Ovis aries: one gene and its partners. The protein of the gene in region 3 purifies or fractionates together with the protein of the main gene of each other region. This does not show direct contact. Links are inferred from orthologs where the notes say so. Each region holds a gene or a part of one and is shown on either strand. Other genes may lie near its edges.

Region 1 (4,024 bases), about 490 kb from region 3:
CCGATTCACCTTGCTCTGCAAGCTTCGAAAGTCACTGTGCAGCAAAATCTTATGTTCATTTAAAGTTCCCCGTTTCTGTCCTCAGAACCTTCAAAAGCATACCTTAAATATCACAAAGTGATGCCCCCTTACTAGCATCTGCTAGCTTTCTGTACCTCGGAGCTTACACATCAGATCTCATCACAGTAAAGGCAGAAGAGCTTTCTTCACTTTTCTCTCCACAGACCTTCAAATTCATAGAACTGGATGGACCACAGCAACAACACGCTCTACCCACCTGCACTTGTAAGACTTGCTTTAAGTAACTACTATAATGCAACAAGCACCAGTGAGACAAGAGACCACCCTCCACCCATATGGTCCCCATCCCATCCCATCCACCCAAGTGATCTCCTTGGCCCAGCAGCAGCCTGAACCCCATGCTAACTCCTTCCTTTCCTCCTTTTACATCACCTTACCGACACAGCTTGCTGCATGCATTCCTTAAAAGGCGCATGTATCTTCACTGTGGCTGCCTTGAGTACTTGTAACTATGTCACAGTTGATTCATGCATCCTCTCTGCGGCAAACGCTGAAAATAACAAGCGCACTAACAAGACTCTGTTAGGACCTGAACTTCACCTGCTTAATGCTCAGATGTCTTTCAGATGATACAACACATTTATTTCATGAAGTCTGGTGGCAGGTAATAAAAACGGAGCACTTTCTAACATCTGAATATATCTTAGGAAGCCAGGACCAAATGGAAATACAAACAGTTGATTTTCATAACCTCTTTAAAATACCGCCTCACTACTGACTTCGTTTTCATAGTAACATCAGCCTTTGATCAACACATCTTCCAGGTATGCTTTTTCTTTTACTTAAAAAGAAACACGGTAAACACAGCTCTTCTGGAAGAATGATGACTTTTCAAGATTCTACCCAAGCTAGAGAAGTATTTTTTTTAAAACACGTGCAACTAGCAAAAAAGAACAAGGAAGACGTCTTCTCAGCAGCACCCCATGTGCTCATCTTTTAAGTATATCTCTGAAGCCTTTGCTGACAACAAACCTCACATAAAACCAGCTACCCCCTGAACACACGTCTTGTTAGGCTCCACTGGGTGACATGTCTGTCTCTTACTATATCATAAACCCCTCAAGGCGTTAAGGGATGTTTCTGTCTTCATCTTTATATCTCCAACTGAGCACCTTGCGTGGGACATTGTTAAGCACTTTTTAAATATTTTCTAAATATATCAGTGAGTGGTCAGTCAGCACACAGCACATTTCTTAGTATATACCATTTGCTTTATTTCTTCTAAAAATAAATCACCTACAGTTTAAGTTACTAATGTAATATCCCATATCGCCTAAATATCCTCACTATAGTCAAAATGCCTGTGGCCCTTAACTCACAGAACTGTGGAAACTGAACTGCATCCTTTAAAAACTCCACCTGTTGAGGGGAGACACAGTCCGCACCTACCTGAGAATGTCCAGAATTTTGCCCTCCCCTAGAATATCCTATTTCCCACCCACTTGCCTGCCTCCCCGGTGGCTCAGAGGTTAAAGCGTCTGCCCCCAATGCGGGAGACCCGGGTTCGACCCCTGGGTTGGAAAGATCCCCTGGAGAAGGAAATGGTAACCCACTCCAGTATTCTTGCCTGGAGAATCCCATGGACGGAGAAGCCTGGCAGGCTACAGTCCACGGGGTCGCAAAGAGTCGGACACGACTGAGCGACTTCACCATACACTATTCTGCCTGCCCTTAGGAATAAGCACCTCCCAGGACCCTCCTCCATTGATTTCTCAGAGAACCGTCTTGATCTGACCTGACTACCCACGTTCACACTATCTACCTTTCCTGCAGTTTCCAGAATGCACTACGGTGCTTCCCTTCCGCTACCTTTACCCTTATTTCCTCTGCAAGGAAGCTTTCCCCCATCCTGCACATTTAACAAAACACCCCCAAGGCTCAGTTACACGCCTCACTCCTTAGGAAGCCTTTCCAGACCGACCGAGGCGTGGCTTTTTACACTTGTTTCTCTGGAAACTAAACTCACGGGAGCGTAGAGACAGAATCTTACTGATCTAACTATTTGCTGTTCCTAAACATGACCTGGGCAAAAGGAAACGCTCAAGCAAAACAAAAAACAAAAAACGCTTTGTGACTGGATATCGAAGCTAAAACACCGCTTTAAGAAAAGACAGGGTCCGAGGCAGTGCCAGAGCCTCGTCCAGGTAAAACCCTCGTCTCTGAGGGATGGCCACACCTGATTCGAAGCCAGGGGCGGAAACGGATTCCTTCCTCGGCGGCCCCGGCTACTGGGTTCAAGGGACCAACAGCTGTTCCCGGACAGACCGACAGCGAGAGGGAGGGGACAGGAGAGGGAAAGGTGCCCTCGGGTCCAGGAGACACAAGGCCAGAGCAAACAGACGAGGAAGAAAAAGGGGAGAGCAGGGGTGCGAGGGCCCTGCAAGCCGAGGCACATAAAGGACGTGGGGAGCAGGGAGAGAGAGAAGACGGGAGGCTTGCCAGCGGCCAGGGCAGCCAGCGGCGCGGGGCCGGTCAGGACCCCCGCCCCGCGCCCCTCGCGGTGCGGCCTAAAGCCGCGGCCTCGCCTGTCGCGACGCCCGCCCGAGGAGGCGCGCCGGCCCCGGCCCACGCCCGCCCACCGGCCCCAGAGACCACTTACCCGGCCCGCCCGGCCGACGATCCCGGGCCGCGGCGGCGCACCGAGGCCGACGCGCCGCCGACACCGCGGGCTGGGGGCTCGGCGTCAGCCCCCGACCGCAGCACCGCTCCGGCGCCAACCCCTACGCAGACTTCGCGGGACGCGCGGCGGCGCGGGGTCACGGCGCGTACGGCCGGAAGAGAGGCACCCGGCGCCTGCGTTGAGGGCGCCCCTGCTGCCGTGCGCCCCCTGCCGTCCGGAGGACCACGCCCGCAGAGCCGAGAGATTTCCTCTGCAGCCAAGAGGGGTCGCAATGGCAAAAGGTTGTGACGCTACAGACCCGGGAGCCTGGCATTGACCTCAGGCGGAGAGGAGGGCTACAAATTTGGGCTTCATGAGGAACACATGTACACCCGTGGCGGATTCATGTCAATATATGGCAAAACCAATACAATATTGTAAAGTAATTAGCCTCCAATTAAAATAAATAAATTTATATTAAAAAAAACTGTTCATCATCAGTGTGCACAAAGCTAAAGATAAATCATAGTAGGAGAGATGAATGGCCAAAGGGCTGTAAAAGACAAGACCAGGGGTGCTGAATTAACTGTGTGAGGTGAAAGTTGCTCAGTCGTGTCTGACCCTTTGAGACCTCATGGACTGTATAGCCCATGGAATTCTCCAGGCCAGAATACTGGAGTGGGTAGCCTTTCCCTTCTCCAGGGGATCTTCCCAACCCAGGGACCAAACCTGGGTCTCCTGCATTGTAGGCAGATTCTTTACCAGCTGAGCCACAAGGGAAGCCCAAGAATACTGGAGTGGGTAGCCTTTCCCTTCTCCAGGGTATCTTTCCAACCCAGGGATCAAACCCAGGTCCCTCACATTGCAGGCGGATTCTTTACCAGCTGAGTCACAAGGGAAGGGATAAGAAAATCATGGGTATGAAGTTAGAGTTACAGGATACATGTTATATACGTATACATACATGTATACATACACGGTACATGTTATAAAGCCTCATGATTTCAAAACGATAGGACAAAATTTGGGACGAAAGAGAAAATAGGATTCTGTGTCAATGCGATTTTCTCGTCTATATTTGAAATCATATACAAACCCTAGGTCCCTGTCCTTTGAAGTAAAATGATTTTGCTTAATCTCCCGGGCCTCCCCAAGTCTCAAACGGCTGACTCAAGAGTTAATGACTGGGAAATGTGAAGATATAAAATAGCTATTGAGCCAGGAAACTGGTAACAATTTATACTATAAACCCACCACAGAGCAGAATCACTCACTTCCCAGGGCCCTGAACGATAAAGGTCTGACACACGTCCCTAGGTTGTTTTTACAGGAAGCAGCCTCTGC
Region 2 (2,880 bases), on a different chromosome or scaffold from region 3:
GGGTTTAGTGCCTGTCCTGCTTCTACTTCCTAAGAAGATGTAAGAGGAAAAAGAGAGATGCTCTTGTTTTGTTAGCTTCCTGGAAAAAAAGATGTGTGTGAGAACTGATAGGAAAAAGTATATCTCCATCCTTCAGATGCTTATTAGCACTTGCTGTATGCATAGCACTCACTGTAGGAGTAAAAAGAAAAAAAAACATGTATTTGCCCTTTTGGAACTTAAATCGTTAGGTTTTTTTGTTTTTTGTTTTTAATGGTTTTATTCCCAAATAAAAAGATTTTGGGGAAAATCTTTGGGACAGTGTTTTTTTCCTTTGAGTATTCCCCAATATTTCAAGAATAAGCATTCTTGAAAATGGTTAAAAGTCAGAAGTTGTTACTTTGAATGAGTATAATAAAATTCTTCATCAGGCCCATGCAGTATGACAAAGTGAGAGCGTTCTCTGGTCCTGGCACCTTCCAACCCCCTCAGTCCCCTACACCTCTCCCTTTTACAGGAAGCACAAGCTCTGACCAGGGCCCAAAACTGTAGTCTCACCCTAGATCAAATCTAGGCAGGTGCCTCCCCTTCCCGTGGGCCCACTGCCTCCCTTGACCCTGTGCAGTCACTGTGGCAGTTGATAAACCTTATTGTGCAGTTGCATTGGGTGGCTGGAACTCAGATGGAGGCAAGGAGATATCCATCTTTAGCTTACCAGAGCATAAGCTGAATAGGACCTCTGCCCGCTGTCACCACTCATAAGCACATGGCCATCTGCCACCTGCAGTTTGTTGCTCCTCACACTTCTTCCCTAGCTCCTCCCCTAACTGAAGCTGGTGTGAAGAGAGGAGGTGGCAGCCCTATAGCTTTCCTACACAAGAAGCAGCTCCATATCCATGAGCTTCCGTGTCCAGCCACCTGCCAGCATTCTTCTCTGACTCACAGGTATCCCACCAACAAGCACACTTCAAACCCAATCCCTCCAGAAACCCGGCCCTTTTCCCTGGCTACAGAGGGCTGTGTAATGCACAAAAGTGCAGATGTTAACTAAAAGTGAATGTCTGAAAGTTAGCAGTTGACTCTTGTTTTAAAAGGGCAAAGAATCTTCTAAGGAAAATGGAAGAAACTATATTAGCTCTCTCTTTACATTGGAGGACACCTGTCCTGGTCATAGAGGATGGTGGTTGACTGCTTTTAATTTTACCATCTTGGTAGGGGCTTCCTTCCAACCCCACTCCTGCCACAGACACAAAATTTATTTTTATGGATTTTATAAGCTTTAGTAAAATACTGCTCAGAAACATTTGATCCCTACATTGATGGAGACTGTCTTGTGTTTAAGAATTGGAACTAAAATTAGAGTGAGGGAGAAAATCAAAGTCTTTAGAAACAAGGGACTAGTGTGGTAAATAACCAAAACGTATTGTTTCTGTTACATAAATGCACATTGAGAAAAGCTGTACCCTAGACATCCTTGTTAGTAACAGCTATCACTCCTAAGGTACTATACTTACCAGTGTAGGACTAAACATTGATTTTTAGCATGAGAAGTAGGAAAGTGAACATGAGGACTGCTCTCTCTTAGGGTAGTGAACATGAAGACTGAACGTTTCAAGCTGGTTCTTTGCTGCTATTGTTTTAGTAACCATATTAGTATTCTTAATATAGTAAGTTTCGTCTGAGATATGGTACTTAAAACAAAAATTACCTATTTCAAGAAATTAAAGGCTTATTCAGTATACCTGTCCATAATATCTGTTTCCCCTAAAGGTTTTCAGGTAAATGTGTATTTTAATTAAGTCCAATTCAACTTTGTAGGGGGAACACACCTGAAACTAGAGGAACAGCTTATGTGGTCTATGAAGACATCTTTGATGCCAAGAATGCATGTGATCACCTGTCAGGATTCAATGTTTGTAACAGATACCTTGTGGTTTTGTACTATAATGCCAACAGGGTAAGTACAGCCACAGTCCTCATCACTTGGGGAACCCGTGTAAGAGTTAGTGAAGGGTGTACCGTTAGGGGAGATGTATCTCCAGAGTTATTTTATAGCTAGTGCTGTTGGTAAAATTCATTTGACTGTAGGTTGGTAACTGTTAACTTTGGTCCATACTACACTTTCAGGCATTTCAGAAGATGGACACAAAGAAGAAGGAAGAACAGTTGAAGCTTCTTAAGGAGAAATATGGCATCAACACAGATCCACCAAAGTAAACGTTTTCTGCATTTTCACTTTGGACTAAAACCCGTGAATAACCACCACTATTTTTTTTTTCTTTAAATGCTGAATATTGTGATTTCTTATTTGAGATTGAAAAAGACCCACTTGAAACTGATATATGTTAGAATATATTATGTTAATAAACTTGTAGCTTTGGGTAAAACATGTCAGTGTTTTCTCTTAAAATTTTTCCTGTGTTATACCAGGAAAAAAAGATAATAATAAAACAGCAGTTGAACCATATCAAGAATTATTCAGTAGTAGGTGGTCCTAGAGACTGAGCTTCTTGAGAATGGGGACCTTTTGATATTCTCAATACTACCAGTGACCAATCCAGTGCTTAGCCATCAGGGGAACTTATTAAGAGTATTATTACTTATTGAATGTCTATTAATAATAAAATCTACATAATAACTCAGTGAAGGTAGGTATCCATTTTGCAGATAAGGAAACCAAAGCTTATGTTGAGTGAATGAATAAAATATTTTTGGACATCAACTGGTTATTAAGCACATGAGTACATTTGAATGATATTTGGTTTACAGTTAGTGAAATGCCTTTGTCAGTATTGGTACCCTTGTCCTCAGATATTTATTCTAGAAGTGGTCATTCAGATGATAACGCATTGTTAGAAATGTGAGAGCCAGCTGCCAGGGTGGTAGTATTTGTTTTTACAT
Region 3 (3,514 bases):
TGCGGCACCAAGTTTTCAACCTGAGAACTGTTCTTTTCTTTAAAAAGGAGGGCTCGCAAGTTTTGGAGAGGTTTTAAAGACTACCCCCAAACTGATATTTTCAGTTTTCAAACTGACATTTGGGGCTGAAAGAATTGAAAAGTCAGTACCTTTGTTCTATGTCCTTAATGCCACCCTATGACGTGAACGAATCCTCCCTGTTTAGTAACAGAATATTTATTGTCTTTTTAGGCTATTGGAACAGTTTAACACAAAACATGGATATCAGACCAAATCATACAATTTATATCAACAATATGAATGACAAAATTAAAAAGGAAGGTAAGTGTTTTTTAAAAAAAAAACTAGTGTGTTTATTTACTACCATCTTAAAAATTATACAGCTTCAAAAGTTCTCATCTAGTCATCTTTCTCACTGCGTGAAATAATGGTTTATCCCTTGTTGTGTAAAGACTTTAAGGCTTTTTAAAGATTAAAAATAAGTAGGGGCTGAAGATGTGTTGAATCTGTTTTCACTCAGATGAAACCATTTCAGAAACTCTTAAAATTAAACAGCCATTGGGAATAGTATGTTATTAAAATATGTAACTTTGTATAAATAAATGAGCGGAGTGCATTCAGTGCAATGTCATGTTAAGAAGAATTTCAGTCATAGTTTCATCCACAGATGCCTTGTTTCCCCTCTAATTTTGTGCAGAATTGAAGAGATCCCTGTATGCCCTGTTTTCTCAGTTTGGCCACGTGGTAGATATCGTTGCTTTGAAGACCATGAAGATGAGGGGACAAGCCTTTGTTATATTTAAGGAACTGGGCTCATCTACAAATGCCTTGAGACAGTTACAAGGATTTCCATTTTATGGCAAACCAATGGTAAATCAATCTTATTTTGGCTTTAATCACTATTAATGGTATGGTAGATTTGTAAATATACCCTTGACAGTGTGGCTGTTGCTTTCTGCCTTCTGTGTAGTGGGTTGGGGTTCATTTATGTATTTATTTTTATAGAAACACATTAGTAGTAGAGTTTGTAATATTCACTTTTTGAGTTATGATACTTCAGATGGGCAAAAGCAAAATACAGAAGATGTAGAATATTTTAAGAACAATGGCAGTATAGGCAATACTGTCCTCTCAAAAGAACTAAGAACTAGAAATTAATTACTCAGAAGATTAAAAAGAAACCTCTGTTTGTAAACTTGTAAAACAACCACAAAACAAAAATGGTGAGTCAAAGAGGAAATCCAGTCCGAAATTTCAAAAAATACCATAGTGAAATACTGTACTTTAGACGCTATGCAGTCAAAGCGCTGATCTAAGGACAGTTTTAAACTCAGGAGAGACCTGAGATTTCACGTTTAGCTGTTGGGTCAAAGTTGAATTGTGGGAAGGGAAGCAGGGAACTCAGGAGGCATTGGTATAAGTCAGAGATGGTAGAGGATTGGATCAGGCTGGAGAAAGAGTATATAATCCAGAGGTCTCTTGGTGTTTGAATGGGTACAGTCTCCCTTGGGTATGGATTTTAGTGCTTTTCTTCTGGAACTGGAATGTGATGGGAAGGGGTGTTGGGGAAAGAGCCGAGGCCGAGAGTTTCAAGGTCCCATGTTCTCATTCTGGTTCTGCCATTAACTGGCTTTTTGTGCTTGTTCCGTTTTACCACCTATTTAAAAAAAAAAAAGAATAAGCAGACTGAATATATTTTGGTCAAATTTACAGGCAAGCAAAAACTCTTATAAAGGACCAGATAATACAAGCTTTGTGGACCACATAGAGTTTGTACTGCACATTCTTAGGTGTGTGTGTGTGTGTTTTAAATAACCCTTTAAAAAAAAAAAATAAAATAAAAAATAAAAATTGTAAACAGAAAGAAAAAAGTTCGTAACTCATAGGCCATACAAAAACAGGCCATGGGCTGGATTTGGCTCATAATCTGTAGTGCAGAATACCACTGTGATCTCTTTTTACAAATTAAAAATCAGGCACAGAAATCTTACGTTACTGTAACCAGTGGCATCGTCAGGACTTGAAAGCTAATCTGCTGACATCCAATATTGTGATTTTTTTTTCCCCTCAATTAGGATAGGCATCTGATCTGTAAAGGGCCAGATAGTAAATATTTTAGGCTTTACGAGCCAGATGATCTCTTTTGCAGCTCCTTAAACTGCCTTTATAGTTGGAGAAGCAGCCACAGAAGGTGTGCAGATGGAAGGGTTTATCTGTGTCCTAAGAAGACCTAACGCAGAATACCAGGCAGTGTTGGCATAGTCAGCACTCCACGGACCTCGGTACTGCACTGTTTAATTCAGGACTGAGCACTTTTTGTCTGTTAAACTGCCACACATTTTCTGCCCATCCTCTATCCAATGCTCCTTTTCCCATCATTTCCCACCTGACTGTTTCCCACCATCGTATGTTTGAAAACTTGTATTCCAGAAAAACTGAGAAGGGGTAGTACCTACCTACCCAACTTACAGTAAATTGGCATTTCCTGAAACCAGTTTATCTTTCTCAGTAGCATGAAGAACTAGCATAATTGAGATCTCAGCTGGTAGTAGCATAAGACTGGGTTTTAGTTTAAATCTGAAATTACGTTAGTATGGAGAAGCCATTTATTCCCATAAAGGGTTTTAGGACTGTTTGTTAAGTTGGGATGACACGTTTGCATATGCCTGGGATTGAAGGCCAGGAAAGCTGGAAATTGTTTGCTGCATTTGGCACCGGCTTCACCTTGCCAGCTAGTTACTAAAAATCAAAGGGACAAGCCCATTACACTGATCTCATATTGGAGGTATTTTAGGAGGTCTCTTCTCTGCCTGCAGGAAAGTAGGAGGTACTGCCAGATCTCCAGCATCCTGGAAGAGGGAAAGAATGTTCCTTGAGCTATCTTGTTTATATTTACTTAGGTGGTTTCAGTTGCTCTTCTATTTAACGCCAACATACCAGATCAGAAATGAGCAAAATTGTCTATGACTTGGAACTCAGAACAAAATTATTCTCTGTGATTCAAGGACATTTGATTCTTTAATTCCAAAAATACCTCAGTAAAGTGAAACCATCTTCCTAAGGGTGTCTGTCTTGAAACCTCTGGTATAAATGTAAATCTTGCGCCTTCTCTAAGCTCTGGGTGAATTTTTATCTCTCATCAGTATTTAGTCTACTATTTTTCAACACTGGCACTACTGACATTTTGAACTGAATAACTTTTTTTTTTGTTTGTTTGGGCTTTCTGGTTCATTGGAGAGTGTTTAACAGCATGTCTGGCCTCTGCCCACTTAGCGTGATGATACAGTATCTCCAGCCAGCAGTGCCAGCTGTGTTCTGGTGGGCAGATTCTCCTCAACTCGAGAACTGCTGCTCTAGACCAGCCAGCTAAGAGCGAGGGCTGAGATGAGAGATTTTCACAGGCCACAGGGACAAGTACAAGATCACCCAAGATCTTCTCAGGTCAGAAGAAGGTTGAAGACCCAGGGGAGTTGGGAGAAAATCCCTGGACCAAGTCAGAGTTAGCCCAGATCTG
Region 4 (4,234 bases), on a different chromosome or scaffold from region 3:
TTTAGGATAAGAGAATGTTCAAATCGGGGACATCCCTGGTAGCCCAGTGTTTAAAAATGCAGGGGACATGGGTTTGATCCTTGGTCAGGGAACCTAGATCCCATACCTTGGAGCAAGTAACCCTGCACACCACAAGACCCAGAGCAGCCCCCCAAAAGAGAGAGAACGTTCAAATCACCAACTGAAATTATGTTTCTGGTACTTTATCTACGATCGTTCTCGCTTCCCTAAATAACAGAAGACTTTACTGGTGTGAAAAATAGGTTTATCTGCTCTAATATGTCCCACTTATTAGAGGTAGACAAAATCTAACTGCAAAGATTCTGAGGTAGCTGAATCGTCTCTCTTCAACACAGGCACATCACAGACTTATGAAAGGACACCACAAGGTTTAGTCAGAAAGCTTGGGACTTGACACTTATTAGCTGGGAGAGGGGCTGTAAAATGGGGATAATAATACCCCCTAATTAACAAAGCTATTGAAGAATAAGGGAGATAAGATCTATATAGAAGGGGGATCTTCCTGACCCAGGGATTGAGCCTGTGATGAACCCGAGTCTCTCACACTGCAGGCAGATTCTTTACCATCTGAGCGAACTGGGAAGCCCTATATATATATATTTAATTATCTACTATTTGTAAAAGGGAATATAAAGAATTATTTATCTTTTGGGAATTCGCTGGCAGTTCAGTGGTTAGGATTCTGCATTTCCACTGCAGGGGGCCTGGGTTCCACCCCTGGTTGGGGAACTAAGATCCCCAAAGCTGCCCAGCATGGCCAAAGAATTTCTTATTTCTTTTTTGCCTTATGTCTTATCCTAGATTAGGTAACCAGATACCTCATATTAGCCTATTGTTACTGTATCACACTTTGTTTTACTGTCATAAGAACAGAAGGTGATTCATGGGTTGTCCTCCTCTCCTCCAAGAAACCTGTTTTTGGTACAGATCTATAACTCTCTATTGTATCCTGGCAACTGGCTCAATTGCATTTGCCAGCATACAATGTTAAGGGGAAAAAAACGTCCAAACAGAATCCCAAGCAATTCTGAAAAATCAAAGCAAAAGTATTCTCTAGCTACTCAGAGCTGAAATCAACTTGAATAGTCCCAAATTCAGAAGTCAATACATCCACCTGAACAGTCCTTAATGATAATAAAGAGAATTACTGAATGGCTATTATACACCTTGCACCATGCTAGGACTTAAAAATGCAGAATATTGGGAGTTTCCTGATGGCCTAATGGTTATGATTCTGGGTTTTCACTGCTGTGGCCAGGGTTCAAGATCCTGTAAGCTATGTGGCACAGTTTAAAAAAAAAAAAAAAGATATTGTTTGTGAATAAAAATGAGAGAGACATCAAAGGAATAGAGGGCTTTCGAAATTGCCAGTGTTGACCAAAATTTGCTTCTCTTGCACTTTTGTCCTTGATACAAAATAACTGCCTTTTGTTGGGCTACACCCAGTTTGGCTCACAGACACTGAAGAAATTATAACCTAGATGACTAAATGAACATATTCATCCACGGACCATACAGTTTGCTGTGGATGGCAAAGTGATACTAAACACAAGGGAAAATCAGATGAAAAGCTTCCTATATATACTCACATCTTTCTCCTGGATGGTGCATTCCTTACAATAATAGGCATCTGAAACTCCAGGGCCTCCACAGATCACACAGCGTCCCTGGTAAGAGCCATAGTTACACTCGTCGCATATGCGCACCAGAGTGCAAGGACGCACATAGGAGTCACAGATCACACACTTGCCATCACCTATAAGAAGAGAATGGAGTTACACCCATGTGCAAATACCTCAAGTCCTTTGCCCTCCTCCCGCTATGGGGACTACACCAGTCTCCTAACAGTGACTTGAGGACCCTCTACTTTGGCATCACAAAACCTGACTTACCTCGTGTCCATCTCAATCGCTACAACACAAAGGAAAAGTTAATCAACTACTGGGTAAAGACCTTAGAGGAGCACCTGGTAGATACGTCTATATAAATTAGTTGGCAGAACGCTGTATATGTCGATGGGGTCATGCTACCTCTGGTCCAAAGCTAAAGATTCTCTCAAAACCTAGTGTCTAAAACGTGCAAGCTGGAGTGAGGGTGGTGGCCTTTAGTTGCAGCCTGGCACTGTGTTGACATTCTTTGGGTCACGTCTACTCCAAGTCCTCCTAGTGCCACCGCTGAAAATGCTCGTTTGCTTGCTCTACAGAAACTGAGTGGGCCAGGTGGGCTAATTGGGGAGGCGTGTTCCACTCACACTTTTCACACAGTCTTCCAATGGCTGCAAGATAAAAGACGGTAAAGAGCACAATTAGGATTAAAGTTTTGACGAAGAGGGGACAAACATCTTCGAGCTTGCGGTGGAGACAGGAGCAGCGACTGCAGTGAGCCCTGAGGGGATCTATCCATCTTATCCTCTTAAACTTCAATCCGAACCAAATCCAGAGCCTCCTGAAGCCCCTCACAGGTCCTGCGCAAACTAAGAATTTCTCCCAGCCCCATTCCGGCAGCCTGCCTCCGGCTCCCAGCACGCGAGCCCCCGCCCTCTTTTCATCAAGAGACCGCAAACGCGCGCGCTCCTGCACTTTCAACCTAGAGGCGGGAAACGTGGCGCCTCCCGGGCAAGACCCTAAGCAAGTGACGGGAACCCCGGACCTCTTAGGTCCTAATACCATTCCCACCAAGAGAGCCGGGGGCAGAAGGCTGCCTCACCAACACCAGCCTGCTTGCGGCAAAAGATCAAGTCCGGGTGATGCTTAGCCATAGCTCCCTCTCAAACCACCGGAAGCTTACAGAACTTCCGTCCGACCTTTAACCTCCGTTGCTCCTGCCTCTTGGTCGCCGTGATTGGTTCTCTAGACGTCCGTCAGCGTTTATACTCTTTGCACCAAGCCCCGCTGGTTCTCGCGAGTTCAAATTTCAAAGCCAGGTTTCCGTCCTAACGGGGGTCAGGTCCTGGCAGGTGTATGAAAGTTATTTAAAAAAAAAAATCACAATCTTTCCAGAACTAGAATGGGAGAGGCAAATTGCAAAGTACAAAGGTGAAATTTTCACTTCGATAAGACATCTCTTGCCCGGCATCTACTTCCTTAAGTGTTTTTTTGTAGTTTTGTCCTCTCCCCTTTCGAGTCCTCACTCGGGAACTCCGCCCAAGGCGCTCGCAGAAGTAGGCGCCTCGGCCGAAGCCCAGCCTTCACGAGGCCGCGTTTCTCTTCAGGCCACGCCCCCAGCCTGAAGGCTTTAAATACTCTGAGTGGCACGTCACTTTCAAGCGACCTCATCTTTGTCAGTGCACAAAATGGCGCCTTACAGCCTACTGGTGTCCCGGCTGCAGGTGAGCGAACTGAGGGCCCTCTGGGTTCGCGGGGGCGGGGTGCCTCCTCCTGTGATTGCGGCTGTGGGCGAGGCAAGACGAGGCAGGCCCGACCTCCGGCCGGCTTTTCGTGTACCTGTCCCTGTCGCGGGGCCAGCACCCACGCTCGCTCCTCCGGCGCCCGAGGTCAAGGCGTCCCTGGCTCTGTCAGCTCTCTCTCTGCTCTGTCCCCGCCCAGCTGGAAGCTTGGGTCTAAGAAGCGGCAGCTAGGTGAAGAGTGGAGGCACCTCTTTCTCGTTTTCGTGGACCTCACTTTCTACCCCATAGAGTTTTGTTTTCTGTTCCTCAAGGTGAGGACAAGGTGACTGGGGGGGCGCGGTGGTTGTTGAGCCCGCTAGGCCCAGAACCCGAAGGCCTCACTTCTCATCTCTCAGCAGCGGAGACTTGCTAGCCAAGTGCATCAATCGTTGTCAAACCCGAAGTCTGGAGAAAAAAACTATATTCCATCTTGAGGGGATCCTGCAGAACATACAGCCAAGAGTTCGAGGGGACCTTCCGTCCCCAGCCGTAGTAATTAGTAATGATAACAGTAGTCTCACCTTTGCACAGATTGCAAGACCATTCCTCATCATATCGCTTAATTTATATGATCATTTGGTAGGATGATTATTCTCATTTGATAGGTGATGAAACTGCTAGGTAAAAGTTCCTGCTCTGAGTGTTACCCAAGTGCTGTGGCGTTAGCATCTGCCCTACTACCCCGCTGTTCTCTTTGTTCCTGTCACCCTGCCCTCAGAACTTTTTGAGCCAGAGTGTGATCCTGGAGCTGACATTTGTATTTGTGAGAGTACCAGAATGGAGTATTTTGAGCCCACTTTCAATTGCTTTTCAATTACTAGATGGGGT
Region 5 (4,105 bases), on a different chromosome or scaffold from region 3:
TTTATTATTTCAAGTACAGAGGGCAGGTCTTCGCAAAACCAGGGGGAAAGTTCTGACAGCAGGGAGGAGGCCCTACTTGCCAGCGATGAGCGGGTTCCTCAGGACCACGATGACAGAGTCCCCGCGCAGGAACATCTTGGAGATGTAGCGGTCCTTGTTGACTGGCTTGGACTTCTTCTTGCCCTTGCCGCTCTTGGGGACCTCCGTCCACATTTCCTTCACATTCTCCAGCACCATGTTGCAGTGCCTGGTGGGGACGGGGAGGCAGCAGGACTGAGTGAGGGGTGTGTCCTGACCCTTCCTCTGGGCGGCACTGCCTCTGGGAAGGGGGAGAGCCAGGGCTCCGAGGCTCGGGCAAAGGACTTCACCTTCTGCGCCTCAGTTTCCTCGTCTCTAAAATGGAGACATTCATGGTGCCTGCCTCCTATGGCTGTTGTGAAAATTAAGTGAATCAACACACTATTTTTCTTATGGGCATGTGTGATGACAGTGTGGAATAGCTCGGTCAACAAACGTTTACAATGATTAGAGCAATGAAAAAAAAACCAGGTAAGAGCCCTGTCTTCATGGGCTCTGCAGGCTAGTGAAGGGAGAACACGAAGCAGGTAAACAAACACACCTGTAATATACTGTCAGGTGGTAGTAAGTGCTATGAAGAAAAACTAACGCAAGGTAAAGGGATGGGGGGCTTCCCAGGTGGCTCTAGCGGTAAAGAACTTGCCTGCTAATGCAGGAGACATAAGAGATGCAAATTCAATCCCTGGGTTGGGAGGATCCCCTGGAGGAGAGCATGGCAACCCATTCCAGTAGTCTTGTCTGGAGAATCCCATAGACAGAGAAGCCTGGTGGGCCACAGTCCATAGGGCTGCACAGATTCAGACACAACCAAAGTGACTTAGCCCTCATGCACACACACAAAGGAATAGGAGGATACAGGGAACTATGACTGAGTGAAAGAAAGAAAAGAAAAAAATTGGGAAAGCTCTGTATCTTGCTATATAGTAATCTACGGTGAGGAAAGCACTTCCCAAATGCTAACTAAAGGCTGCATGTGTTTACTGAGCATTTATCATGTGTTAGGTACTGAGCCAAGTGCTTTTCATACATAGTATTACTGAAGCCTCATTACTGTTCTGAGGGATATTATTATGACGCATATTTCACAGGTAAGGAAACTGAGGCCCGGACAGCATACCTCCCCAGACCCTGGTGCTCACCTGTCGAAGGCCTTCACGCGGCCCAGGAGCTTCTTGTTGTTACGGCAGTTGATGAGCACTTGAGTGTTGTTTTTGACTGACTGCGTGAGCACGGAGAGCGGCCCCGTGTTAAACTCCTCCTCCTCCCGCTTCTGCAGCTCCTCTGGGGTCATCTCACTCTTGGGCTTGTTGAGGAGACTCCTGAAAAGACAAGTATGGAACCCAGAGGTGAGCAGGCCCATAGCCTGGGTGCTCATGGCCTCTCCCTTGGTGTCTCCCCGACACATATCCCTCTCTTCGTACTCAGTCCTCTCTCTTGCTATCACCACTTGGATGCCTAATGGATATTTCCAATCCTCGCATGACCTAGACTGAACTCCAGACCCCCCATAACCCCAACTTAATACTATCCACAGCCTTCCTCATCTCTGTCAGTGGTGACTCCATCCCTCTGGTTCTTTGAGCAACTTGACTCTTTCTTCTCTCACATCCTACATTCAATCTGTCAGCAAATCCTGCCATCTGCCACTAAAACCTATCAGAATCTGAATTTCTTACCTTGGCTTAAACCTCCATCATCTTTCCTAGGTCTCCTTGCCTCCACCCACGCTCCCCAACAGTTCGCCCTCCACAGAGCAGTCTCAAGGGTGGTGTCAAGAATCATCTCACTCTTGAGTACCCTCTCAGTGTAAACAGTAAAGCCCAGCTTTTACCCTCACTCTGTTCCAGGCACAATGGCCTCTTCAGTGGTTCTTGAAGCTATCAGGCAAACCTTCTTGGGCCCCTCTATTCACTTTTCCCTCTGCCTAGGTACGTCCCCAGGTACCTTTGCAGTTTGCTTTCTCACTTTCTTCAGGTTTTTGCTCAAGTGTTGCCTCCTTCATGCGTTCTGTCTCTCACAAGAGACATTCCACGCTGTTTTACCCTGCTCTGTTATTTCTTTATTCAAAACCCTATTCCCTAACACATTCTAGAATTTACGGATTTATTACCAGCACGTTTCCTGCCTGCCTCTTCCCATCCCGTAAGATGTAGAAGAGGATTTTTTTTCCCTTGGGGAGAGTGGAGTAATTCAGTGATATAAGCTATGCGTCTAAAGCAGCCTAATACACAAACAACTCAATAAATAACTGTTGAGTGACTACATAAGTAAAATCATCCCCATAACTCGTTATCCATACCAATGGCGGATGTGATCGAAAAGCCAATTGTCTCCAGCTACGCCTCTTACCTTAAGACCGCTTTTCCTACAAGTCCGTACTCCTCATCTCCCAGGTTTTTAATTCGTAAAAACGCTTCCTCTTAAACTTCACTTCAATAAGATTGCTTATTTGGGAAAGCCCAGCCTGTTATCTGATAAAGCTGTCCCCGCTCCCGAAGTCAGGATCCTTCAAAGGCCCCACGTCCCCTCGCAACTCATCAGTAGAAAGATACGCCACTTTACCCCCAAATGTTTGCTTCCGCGCCCACTTCTGCCTACCCACTTCAACCGGTAAGTGGCCAAACTTACACCCTCAATCCCACTGCCGCCACCCAAACCCAGCCCGGCCTCACATGATGATGATGGTGACCGCGTTTTCAAGCCACTACCGTCTCCTCCGTGGTGTGCCTCCCGAACAGAGAGCCAGAGGCGGGACTTCCTCTTCCTACGGCCCACTTCCGCGCGCGCCTGCGCATACCCAACCAGCGAGTGGGGCGTGGCCCGTTGCTATAGCGATCTCCGCCCTCGGCGGAGGCTGCCGAGTAGAAGCCTTACTTAGTAAGTAGCTCCAGGCCACCATTCAAGACAGTGCTGGGCAGATATTCACGACCATGGAGAGGAAAAGAAGGCGGGACTGATTAAAACCATTTTGTTGCAGAACCGCATAGGTTGAAAGAGGGGAATACTAGCCATTTCCAAATGCCCGCCCGCTCTGCCTTTGGGGGCGCGGCCTTGGCGAAGCCAATCCCCTCCTCGCTTCAGGGATGGGCACCTCCCCTTTCCTTCGGAAACTGTTGATTTACGTGTATATTGGTTTTTCTGGACCGGGGAGAGGGTCCATCCGGGAGCGGCGTGGATTTGCGCCCAGTAAGGCTAGTGTTTTCGGTGATCAAACGCTTCTCATTGGCTTCCCCTCCTGCGCTGAGGCGGCGCCTACTTCTTACGCTCTCCCTTTTGGGTTGTGCAACCCGGGGGAACCAACCCCCAAAGCTCCCTGAAGACAAGGAGCCGCGTCCTCAGGCCGAAAGTCCCATTTGCTTTACTGCTCGTGGGGGGGGCGGATGGTGCAGCCGCTCTTGTTGTTCATTGGTCTGGCTTATTTCATGGGGCGGGACTTGGCTCGGCCTTAACTCTATCCGCCGTCTCCGACCGGTTTCAGGGCCAAGCTGCCATGCGTTCCGGGGGCCGCGGGCGGCCCCGACTCCCGGTCGGGGAACGCAGCCTTTTGGAGCGACCCTCACCGCCCAAGCGGCGCCTGATACCGCGGGCACAGCTGTTGCCCCAGCTGCTGCTGGCTCTGACAGTAGCCTTGGTGTTCTATACCATTTGGAGCAGCTGGCATAGCCAGACTGAAGAGCTGCCGCTGGGCCGGGAACTGCGGGTGAGGACGGGCGGGGACATGGGCACTGCGGAAGCCCTTACTCCTTGCCTCCCCTTCCCCACGGTCTCATGGGGAAGACCCTAGGTTGGGTTAACCTGGCTTTGTCTTTACCTTATGGCCCTAGCTGCAGGTGCCGCCGTCTCCGTTCTTAGAGCGCATACCCCTTTCCAATGCAATGAGGCTTCGGGCTTGTTTTGTAATAGCGGTTACCCCGTAAGAGAGTCTGGAGTAGTAAGACTTGGAGTTCTGGGTTCTAATCCTAAAGGCAGCTATTTGGAAGAGTCCCTTCCTCTCGCTGGGCCTTGATTTCCCTCATCAGGATTGCCG

What was found. The genes of interacting proteins can lie anywhere in the genome.
Region 1: the proteins of SNRPB2 (region 3) and RBM17 purify together in Homo sapiens (affinity purification with mass spectrometry; 3 studies listed by BioGRID and IntAct, with this or other methods). This does not show direct contact. The link is inferred for Ovis aries from reciprocal best matches to the Homo sapiens genes SNRPB2 and RBM17.
Region 2: the proteins of SNRPB2 (region 3) and SF3B6 purify together in Homo sapiens (affinity purification with mass spectrometry; 4 studies listed by BioGRID and IntAct, with this or other methods). This does not show direct contact. The link is inferred for Ovis aries from reciprocal best matches to the Homo sapiens genes SNRPB2 and SF3B6.
Region 4: the proteins of SNRPB2 (region 3) and PHF5A purify together in Homo sapiens (affinity purification with mass spectrometry; 4 studies listed by BioGRID and IntAct, with this or other methods). This does not show direct contact. The link is inferred for Ovis aries from reciprocal best matches to the Homo sapiens genes SNRPB2 and PHF5A.
Region 5: the proteins of SNRPB2 (region 3) and SNRPD2 purify together in Homo sapiens (affinity purification with mass spectrometry; 3 studies listed by BioGRID and IntAct, with this or other methods). This does not show direct contact. The link is inferred for Ovis aries from reciprocal best matches to the Homo sapiens genes SNRPB2 and SNRPD2.

Annotation. Positions count from the first base shown.
Region 1 is NC_056066.1:10,877,111-10,881,134, reverse strand, and holds the start of RBM17 (splicing factor 45), read right to left. Parts: upstream 2,815-4,024; 5' UTR 2,681-2,814; intron 567-2,680; exon of another isoform or gene 459-566; intron 1-458. UniProt on the Homo sapiens protein: Splice factor that binds to the single-stranded 3'AG at the exon/intron border and promotes its utilization in the second catalytic step. Involved in the regulation of alternative splicing and the utilization of cryptic splice sites.
Region 2 is NC_056056.1:31,741,295-31,744,174, reverse strand, and holds the end of SF3B6 (splicing factor 3B subunit 6), read left to right. Parts: intron 1-1,797; coding exon 1,798-2,038; 3' UTR 2,039-2,106; coding exon of another isoform or gene 2,107-2,196; 3' UTR 2,197-2,366; downstream 2,367-2,880.
Region 3 is NC_056066.1:10,391,371-10,394,884, forward strand, and holds part of SNRPB2 (U2 small nuclear ribonucleoprotein B''), read left to right. Parts: intron 1-231; 5' UTR 232-257; coding exon 258-321; intron 322-697; coding exon 698-870; intron 871-3,514. UniProt on the Homo sapiens protein: Involved in pre-mRNA splicing as component of the spliceosome. Associated with sn-RNP U2, where it contributes to the binding of stem loop IV of U2 snRNA.
Region 4 is NC_056056.1:218,391,213-218,395,446, forward strand, and holds the start of PHF5A (PHD finger-like domain-containing protein 5A), read right to left. Parts: upstream 2,815-4,234; 5' UTR 2,780-2,814; coding exon 2,728-2,779; intron 2,297-2,727; coding exon 2,273-2,296; intron 1,778-2,272; coding exon 1,611-1,777; intron 1-1,610. Other genes in the region: ACO2 (aconitate hydratase, mitochondrial), read left to right, coding at 3,314-3,349.
Region 5 is NC_056067.1:53,040,957-53,045,061, forward strand, and holds the start of SNRPD2 (small nuclear ribonucleoprotein Sm D2), read right to left. Parts: upstream 2,815-4,105; 5' UTR 2,753-2,814; coding exon 2,751-2,752; intron 1,398-2,750; coding exon 1,218-1,397; intron 248-1,217; coding exon 73-247; 3' UTR 1-72. Other genes in the region: QPCTL (glutaminyl-peptide cyclotransferase-like protein), read left to right, coding at 3,569-3,778. UniProt on the Homo sapiens protein: Plays a role in pre-mRNA splicing as a core component of the spliceosomal U1, U2, U4 and U5 small nuclear ribonucleoproteins (snRNPs), the building blocks of the spliceosome.